Arabidopsis thaliana: one gene and its partner. The protein of the gene in region 2 interacts with the protein of the main gene of each other region in a pairwise test. Each region holds a gene or a part of one and is shown on either strand. Other genes may lie near its edges.

Region 1 (4,961 bases), on a different chromosome or scaffold from region 2:
TTTGTGTGGTGCGATCTCTTCTCTTCTCTTCTCTTCTCTTCTCTTCTCTTCTCTCTCTCACAAAAGGCGTTTCGTTTCTGGATTGTGTCTCCCGAGACGAACATTACAGTTTTGTTCCTTCATTTTTTTATTACGCATATAAAATTATTTTTGTAATGTTTTAAAAACCGGACCGGTCCGGTCCTGCAGACCAAGAATCGTTCATGTGGCTGAAATTGGGATGAACCGGTATCTGGTCCGGTTTCTAAAACATTTAGCTGCAAGATTTATTCTGAATGGCTAGAGACATGTATTCAAAACTTATAAACTGGATGGGACTACAGTATATCACATGTCACTAGTTCTATGCACAAAAGTCAGGAAATGACAAGTGATAAGAGTCTTAATCATGAAACAATAGGCAAAAATTGCTACCATATTGACAAAAGACTGCCAAATATCCCACCAAATCACATGTCTGTTTGGCACGAAAACAAACATCTTTAATCATTTGTAAAAAAGTTAAATTAATTGTGTGTTTACCATTATAATTGGCCTATCATTGAAAATGGTTATTCAACTTTCCCATTTATGATTCTCTCGGCCACACGACTCACAGATGAACAATAACAACCACACCGACAAAATCTTATAGAAAAAGAAGAAGCAACTACATGATATAACAAACAGCTAAACGACTGAAATTAAAATTTCGCAATCCATCTTAATCATCAACTAATATGAAATATTCAATTTGCATTTTAATATCAATTCCTTCTCTTGCAACTCCGAAACATTATTTGGTTTATCTTCCAACTAGCAACAACCTGATCCCTTTGTAGCTTGACAAGAGTACCACGGTCCAATATGTCTACTACTTTGTTTAGAAACCAAGTCCACTTGCCAATGCTAATATGTCTTAGGTATCCTACAAACAAAGAACCTCATGCTTCTCGATTTTTCGCTTCCATCTTCAATGATTTAAGGTAATCAATGGCTCTATCGATGACTAAGATCGGGTCCACCAGTTCCTCCCCGGGGACTACACTGCGCAAGAGGCTTACAGTCTCAAATATCTTCTCTTCTCCTATCTTGTTACTAGACAGCTTAGAACGTTTCAGAAAACTAATCCTTGTGTTGTCACAACTACCACAGCTCGATTCAGCGTCCCGCATACTCTCATTCGAGGTTTCGAGTATCTTTCTCTTTTTAGCATTTAATGGTTGTCCATAGCTTCCAAGAAATGTTTTTTGGTCCTCACGGCCTGATACTACAATGCTTGGGGAATGGTCTGCGCTTGTAACCTCATCTTCTTCAGAGCAATAACCACTCTCATCTTCAGAGTAAAGCAATGCATTTAGTTCTTCCGAATCCTCCTTCAAATCCGGTTCGCTATTTCCTTGCATTCCGTGACAAACAAACAAATCTTTGTTGCTTCTTTGGAGCTCTTCCTTCATATCAGGACAGGCATGCTGTTTTAGGGTCTCAAAAGATTTCCGTATATCGGAAGCGAGTAGCAAAGTCGTCTGATCTCCAGACTGATCAAACACTAGGAACCTCTTCTGACTACATTGTTCCTCAGCTTTAGATATAACACCGTCTACTTGAAGAGGTACTTGCTTCATACATTGGTTTTGAGGAGGCAAGAACTGCTGCTGTAGGTGGGATGACCCATGAACCCATCCACAATACCCATCAAAATAGGATTGAGAGACTTGGGTAGAAACTTGATAAGATCCACGAGTAGAAAACATGTCGGTGGTGTCGCCGCAGGTTTTAGATACTAAATTCAAGTCTTGCTTCCCGAGATGAGACAGAGCTAGGGAAGACAAGGAACACAAGCGCTGAGTAGGAAACCCAAACCCACGATCTTGTCCCATCCAACACTAAACAAATCAACTATCCAAAACAGAGGACATCATCATCTCAAACAAATCAGCTACTTATAATCAAGAATGGGAGGTCAAAAGATTATGTGTGCAAAGACTGGAACTTACCAACTAAATGGATAGAAGAAACTAGGCTTGAAACAAGAACGATAAGTATCGAGCTACTCTACGTGACGGGCTTCAACAATTGACGGAAATATTCAGCCTGCAAAATACACAACATCAAAGCTAAAACGAAATCAATAAAAAAAAGTTCTGGTGGTTTAAAAATCTAAATATATTGCAATAACATAAACTCATCAAACAAGAAAATAACCTGGCAATCTTGGAGAGGTTGAAAGCATGCAATGACTCTAACTACAATGTTTCCTGTGATACCGTGTTCGTGTTTGAGTGTACGAAATCTTGTCTGTCCCGCTGATTGACAAACCATAACTACTTTCTCCCCAACTGATTCCTTCTCCCAAAACAGAGTATCCAAACGAAGTCTTAAATAATTTGGCGGACAAAGTAAGGGAATGTGAAGAAAAAAGACGACCCCATTACATAAAAAAGCTATGTCTGAAGTAAGATCGCAGTTTACAGAATCACACGACAGAAGACTACTACTGTACGAAAAACATAAGCAGAAAGACACAACCACCACCGCATGCTGTTGCTTTGTTGCTCTTTCTTGTTTTATCTCTGGAGTCAATCTCACTACTTCAAATGAATCTGCAAAATAAACGAGAGCAATAGATTTAGTGCTAGCAAGAAACAGAACACTTTAAAACAAATAACTTAACCTAGAAAAATATGCACAATGCATATTATTACAGAGTTTATAAGTTCTATCTCGAAAACTGAAGATAATAGAAACTCACAAAAGTGGAATGCAAGAGAAGCAAATAGAAGTTCTAAGGAGGAAGCAGAGAGATATTAGTTTCAGTGATGGCGAAGAGAAGTTAGCGAGGAAGAAGATATATACAAGAGAAAAAGACGAAAGTGACCTTCATCATAACAGAGATGCGTGCGTGCGTTAAAGTTTAGGTATCGTGATGCCACAGTGTTTACCAAATCCGATAACAAATGTTTTTGGGAAAATTAGCTGAATTTGGTGGGTTCAAAATCTAAATAGTTGTTTATTTTTCTCGATGTAATTACTAATTAGTAAGATATACTCATAATCCATATTGTTGTTAACATGCTTTTTCGGCTTATTTATATTTGGCTAAAAGATATACATTTGCCCATTTGGTGGAAAAATAAATTATGCCAAATAGCTTGTTTTGGTTGGAAAGAAGAATCAGTCGACTTTCACTTTTCATCACATGTAAACAAATTCAGCTAACGGAATCTAGTATCTTTCAATTCCACCGAAACACAAATATCATTCACATAATATAAAAATGATCATCAATGAAGCTATACAAAAAAAAAAATCCATTTGAAGCCAAAGTATACTTACTTCATGCAATCATGTTTTATAAGACGCTCGCTTATGTATTTTGTTGGTTTCGTACTTTCGTTCATCGTCAGTAAGAAAAGTAGTGAAAGTATCCAATGTGAAGAAGAAGAAGGTCCAATCATTTCTCAAATACTCTCGTTTGCAATGGCTTGACCGTTCAAACCCCAAATCATTTCTACTTTTACTTTTTACCTTTTTGCACCCTCCATTTCCATCTTCTTTGGGTTTCACATTATGTTTTGTCTTCCCATTCTGGTTGGTCTATTTTCATATGGATCTCCAAAACACTTTCGTGGAAAATGTATCTATTGCACTTATAGTGAAAAAACGATGAAATATGTGACGATAAATATAACAAGAAGAAAGGAAAATCCTACAAGACAATTGATTGCTCTTCATCTTTTCTTTATTATAATCTCTTCCAAAATATGTATATTTTTCTATATATACTAAAGTGTTAAGAAAAAAAAACAAGCTTCATTATCATTATAAGACTTCCGTTTTCACTATAGAAGTAGGAACGGTACAAGTCATACTCACTGACTTATAAAAATACAAACAAATAATGATAACATAAGAACATTATTATTGAGATCATAATTTATGACCAATCCACAATAATTTATATTATGAAAATATAAATTCAATATTAGATACTGTAAGATAAGTTTCGAAGGACAAAAAAGGAGATAATTTCTATACAGAAACCCAAATGAACAACCTGCATCACCAAAAATTACCAAGTTAGCCAAAAAAAGTTTTTTTAGCTAGTTAGCCAATGACTTAATCGTATATTATCAATCATAAAACTTGATACCAAAATTATCTAAACCTAATTAATCCCCCAGAAGAAACAGACACGTTCTCTCTTGTCAGAAAATGGCACTGACTAGTAATAATTATACCCAAGATATTTTTCATTGACAATCAAAGACATCTGAAACTATATTCAATAGTGATAGATGTAGAAGACCCATGATTTAGTAACCTGAACCAAATCTTTGATGTACAGATAAGAGAGATCTGGTTGCTCACAATCATACAAGCAGAGTAACATTTAATATTACCACGCCAAATATTTAAGTTATACAAAAACCATTAGGATAATATTACTAATCCGTATAGTATATAAATTAGGATTAATTAAAAGTGGATACACTTAATCCTTACTGGCTTTAATGGTGTCAGGGGCCCAAAACAAACCCTCCACCGTTTCTCTCTTTCTGTGTGTCTCTAAAGCAATCATCATATCCTAGGTCCACCATTTTTATACACATAAAATAACACTCTTCTCATTTTGCGTGGTTAAAAAAAATACACATATATGAGATGTTTTTTTTTGATAAAGACACATATATGAGATGTTGATTTGCTATCTTTTATGTTCTTCAATTCAACAAATGTTCTCGAAAAATATGACATAATAAACTGGCTGAATATCAAGATCATAGTATAATGTGCTCCAAAATGTTGGACCGAGAGTACTTATATAACATCTATATAGTTTACATATATTCACAAAACGCATTAAAAATGCTACATATCACGACTTCAAGTCTTCTAGCATGACCGTGTTTTGTAATGGGTTTCAGAGAATATTGAAATTTAATTTCCTTCTGAGTAAAGGAAAACACGCATGGGAGATG
Region 2 (5,028 bases):
CGGAGAAGGCCTCACGGGCGAAGCAATAGGAGTCGATCGCCGATCGGAATCGAGATCGGGAACAGAGGAGTGTGGCGGCCATCTCCGAGATGATGACGGTGGTGAGATGGTTCTGCGTTTGTGTCAGCGTCGTGTCTCTTATTATTGTTATTGGATAGAAGAAGAAGAGCATCTCCTCCATTCATCAACCATCCACCATTGCTTTTAGACAACGACCGATGAAGAAGCTTCAATTTCGCCACCAAATTTCACAAATATCAACAAAAATCAATTTCTCTCTCTCTCTCGAAACCCTAAAAACAGATTGAGGATTTGATCTTTGTTCAACTTTTTATTTATATACAGTGTCTCCCCTTTATCCTCGTCAAGGATAACGGGCATCTATTTTCTGATTCAGTCAGTTAACTGTTATCCACCCAAAACGGTGTCGTTACGTTCCTTTTTTCTTTAAATGGGCCTTCTTTCTTTGTCTTAGTCAATGTTTTAAAGCCCATACAATCTTCTTCTTTTTTTTCCACGAGCCCATACAATCTTCTTTGATGTAATGTTACTACTATTTATCAACAGATTCTTGTGTTGTTGTTGTAACAAAAAGAAAGAAAATCAAAGTGGTAGGTATTATACTATGATAATAAATCATCATGTTTGGTGTGGTGTTGAAAGAGCTGAACAAGTGAGTACAAGACTTGAATCCTTGTGACTTGTGGCTTTGCCTGTACGATGAAGTGTGCCCATATTTGTCCTTTTCTTGTTTCCATCACTCCTTTCAATATCTTCAATCCCAATCCTCTCACCACTTGTCCTATCTCCAAGAACTCCTCTCTTTCCTCACACACCATCTCTATCTGCATTTCTCCTTCCCTGTTCAATTCCTCCACCATTATCGGACATACCACTCCTTCTTCCCCCACTTCCAACGCCCATGTTCTCTCTTTCTCCTTCACCAGCTGATAAACATCATTCACTCATCAATACTCAAACACTTGTGTACTTACTGAATGGATATATTTGATTCATTACCTTAGACTCGTATGGTTGTTTGAGTCTCTCTGCATACTTGGCGAGGCTTTGCATGAACACCATGTGTTTTATGGTCAGATCCAGCAACGTATCTATGCTACACTGTTTAAATATATATCGAAACTTATTAGAGAATGCATTTGTTAATCTATAATTTGGATGCCCTAAACTAAACTATATTATTATTCAATTTACCTTAGCTCCATTTGGAATCATCCCTCGCAACTCCTTGATACGGTCTTGTATCATCTGACGGTCCTTAGGCCTCGGCCTCCTGCTTTCTCCTGCCTTTGCTCTTTTCTTCTTCACACCTTCTTCGTGAGGCTTCTTCCAGTTCCCTCCAATACTTGATCTCTCATCATCATCAATCCACAAACTCCGACTTGTTACTGTCTCCTCCTGAGGGAACAAGCTTGAGCTATGCGCCGATGATGTATCAAGCTTCCGTCTTTTGCTCTGGTTCACACCAGAGTACTCTTGCACGTTCGTGAGAGAACTACTACAAGTGTTGTTGCTAAGACTGCTGCTTATGAGCTCTGAGAAGAGTCCTTTAGGTGGCAAAGCCATTGTAGGCGTTTGAGAATTCATCCCCAAAATGTCGAAAAGATCCTTGTCAACTCCTTGGATCACCATGGAAGAGCAGTTCTGTTCTGGTGGATCAGCGAGCAGCTGGTATAGATCGTCCAGAGAGTAAGACTGGAGAATGTCGAACCCATAATCATCTCCATTGGTCAGATCTTGGTTGGAAGAAGCTGCTTCAGAGGAGATCATCTCAGGGCTGAGCAAAGAAGGAGGATTGTCCTCAGCGAAGATGTCATCAAAGCTAAATCCTTGAAAAGATTCAGCTGGGAAAATCTCACAATCTCCCAGTGACTCAAACAGAGTATCGAGATCACCGGAATCATGTGGCTTTAAACACGTCTCCTGGAGAGCTCTTGTTGTTTGTTCCAATATCTCTGTGCTCTCAAGAATCTAAAGATTGATAGTAAGTAATTAGACCATGACTTCCACAACAAGAAAACATTGTTATATAATTATATATGCAAACCTTTTGAGTAGATCCTAGCTGAACAACGCCGCTGGATCCTAGTGGAATGATTGCGATAGTCTGTGTATAAGTAAACTGCCGTATAAGAATCTGATTCAAAATGGATATATGAATCCTTAAACTTGGAGAGAAGACAAAATATAAATTACCTTAAAGCCACAGAGAAACTGATTCTGAAACTCATGTTCCCACTGCAAAACAATCAAACGCACGAATATCAAATCTTTTTTCTTCTTCATCATGAAATGTTCTATGCAGTCACTATATTTCGACATACATTATAGCTCACAGATGAGAAAAATCAAACACCAAGAAAAAGAAGTGAACAAACCTGAAACAATGTGTCTGAGAACAGCCATTGATGGTTTCCGGATGAAGCTACTTCTCCCACAATTCTAATTTCATCAAAAGAAAAGTATATTGAAGATATATAAACACAAACACAGAGACAGATATATAAAAGATTTGAGTGAAGTGTAAAAGCATACCCTTGGCCTAAGATAGGAGCCTGGAGAACCATATCATCAACTAGTGCGACTGATTGTTCATCATTGTATGCTTCTTCAAATCTCAATATCCTGATGGAATTCAACAAAACTAAATTACATTTATGGACACCAAAGTAGGGAAGCCACATATAAAACCAGAGGATATGCAATTCAGTCTTTTGCCTAAATCAACGGAAAACAAAACTAGTTTTATGCAAATATTATCCAAGACAGGAACATGCATATAACATTCGAAAGAAAAAAGAGAGAAATTACATGGAATTGATGGGATCATAACGCCAAAACACAGCATAAGACCATCCATGGCTTAAACAGAGACTCTTCAATATATGCTTATACTCTGAACCCATATTTAGGAATCCAAGCCGGGAAGAGCCCTTTTAATTTCTGCAGGATCTCGAACTCTTAAAAAGGACAACAACTTTTGTCTTCTCCAGAAACCAAACTCCAAAGATAAAGAAAAGCTGGAAACAGAGGAAAAATGTGGGTTTTTGAGTTTTCTCTTTTTTTCTTTAATTTTCTGCAGATAGAAAAAAATACAGAGAAAATTCCTTTGAGTTTTGCTTTTTGTTCAAGCAATTAAAAAGGAGTTAAGAGCTTTGTCTCTCTATATATATAACCAAACAATAACATGAAATGTTTGTAATTCGATAAGAAGTGGAAGAGCCTTTTTGTCTGAGGAATTAAATATATTACTATTATTTATTTGATGTGATTTGTCTGCCGGTGTCCAGTCACGCTTTTGTCCCGGAAGTGACGTGAATTACACCGGCTATTGCCGGTTTAGTGAAAAAGTTTGCTTTGATTACTATATATTTATTTGTTGTCTTTTGAAAAATTTAGGACGGGAGAGGATCTTCGAGGGTATAATTTCCATAAAGGGAGATTTTATTTTGATTTTACTTTTTATCATCGATTCATTAAATACTCGATACGAATTTATGATATACTTTAATAGTATTCAATATATTTAGATATGATTAATTAACTAACATTTGATGAAAATTTCTATAGTGGAAACTGGTGCAATGGAAAAATAAAAATGAGGAGAATGTGATCCCCACAACAGAGGAAGATAAATGGTGCTGTGGAGTTTCTAGCGATCATCTTCTCCCTCGTATCCTATATCTTGAACATCATATTAAAGCTTAACATCGACCGTTTTTGGTTGGAAAATATGGTTTAGAGTTATAAAGAAAGAATGACCGCCTCTTTAGTGTATGGGCCAATGAGGTTCCCAAAATATGTGTCACCTAAATCTTGAATTCTCGGTATGATAATCTTGACTTAAGTAGTTCTCAAATCTCGATCCACTGCCTCATATAATTATATCAACAGTCTAACACCAATGTCGTCAGCAGTCACATACATTCGTAGAGTATGCATTCATATATAAGCCAGATATATACATATCATAAGAGATTTGTTATACCTATATTCATCCAAATGTTTAGTTGTGGTCTCTTGTGGTACCAACCTAAAAAAAATAAGGTTATGCTTCCGCCTTAAGTCTTGAGAGCTACTATCTTTTTTCTTTAATATAACTAAACATCTTATTATTATCAGGAAACCATGCATGTTTAATTTTAAGTTTATATAGAAGATCACAAGCAAGGAAAAATGTGAATGTTAAATAGACTTGAACATTAGTTCATGAATAGTATTAAACGTGTTTTAATTTGTTACTTTATTACTTTATTTTAGCTATTTATTTGTACATGGTGCTATTTTGTACCTATGTTTTGAGTTTTCAATGGATTATTTATATCTTAAAACTTTATACTATATAAACTCTGATATCAACCTTCGAATTTCATGATTTTACTGAATATTACTATGGAAATACGATATAAAATAGAATTTAGAGAACATCAAAGGCATATATAGCAAACGTTAGAAATACATGCCTCAATATTTGAGACCCATTTTTGTTACTCGCAAGTCGCGCAACATCTCACACCACACATTACATGCCTAAGCCTAAGTGCCACAAATACATCACCTTTAAAAAAAAAAAAAAAAAACTTCTCGGCCTAAGCTAATGTACATGCACTTAATACACTTTTAGCTTCTTGATAGTGGTAGAGAATATCAATAGATATCCACAAATCTTGAAATGGAATAAGTGATTATAATTACATATCAAATGAAGAAAAACTCATCAATCAATTTATTTTTTGGGGTTATTAGAAATAGCCATAATTTGGTCTCTTATACTCATCACACGCTCAATCATGGCCGTTGAGAACAAAAGTCAACGGCATCAAGATTTTCACCTTAATCCTTTTTCGTCTTTAGTTGATTTATTGTCCCTTTTCGAAACTTTCCGTTCTTATTACAATTGTGTCCGAAAGTGGTGAAATAAATCCAAAAGTTGGATTTTATGTTGTACACTTGCTTTTTGTTAGATAAGCTATTTTAAAACTTTTCGTTAAAATATGTGACTAGAGA

The links. Proteins that work in one complex are often made in the same cells at the same time.
Region 1: the proteins of AT1G64625 (region 2) and AT5G50010 interact in a two-hybrid assay, tested with the Arabidopsis thaliana proteins (one large-scale study listed by BioGRID).

Annotation. Positions count from the first base shown.
Region 1 is NC_003076.8:20,346,454-20,351,414, reverse strand, and holds AT5G50010 (transcription factor bHLH145), read right to left. Parts: upstream 2,801-4,961; 5' UTR 2,732-2,800; intron 2,583-2,731; 5' UTR 2,185-2,582; intron 2,074-2,184; 5' UTR 1,977-2,073; intron 1,879-1,976; 5' UTR 1,860-1,878; coding exon 924-1,859; 3' UTR 585-923; downstream 1-584. Other genes in the region: AT5G50020 (DHHC-type zinc finger family protein), read right to left, coding at 174-205.
Region 2 is NC_003070.9:24,014,777-24,019,804, reverse strand, and holds AT1G64625 (Serine/threonine-protein kinase WNK (With No Lysine)-like protein), read right to left. Parts: upstream 3,150-5,028; 5' UTR 2,928-3,149; coding exon 2,833-2,927; intron 2,647-2,832; coding exon 2,557-2,646; intron 2,464-2,556; coding exon 2,400-2,463; intron 2,260-2,399; coding exon 2,218-2,259; intron 2,159-2,217; coding exon 2,069-2,158; intron 1,993-2,068; coding exon 1,216-1,992; intron 1,123-1,215; coding exon 1,021-1,122; coding exon of another isoform or gene 976-1,020; exon of another isoform or gene 948-975; coding exon 624-947; 3' UTR 534-623; downstream 1-533. UniProt on the Arabidopsis thaliana protein: Transcription factor that may regulate root development.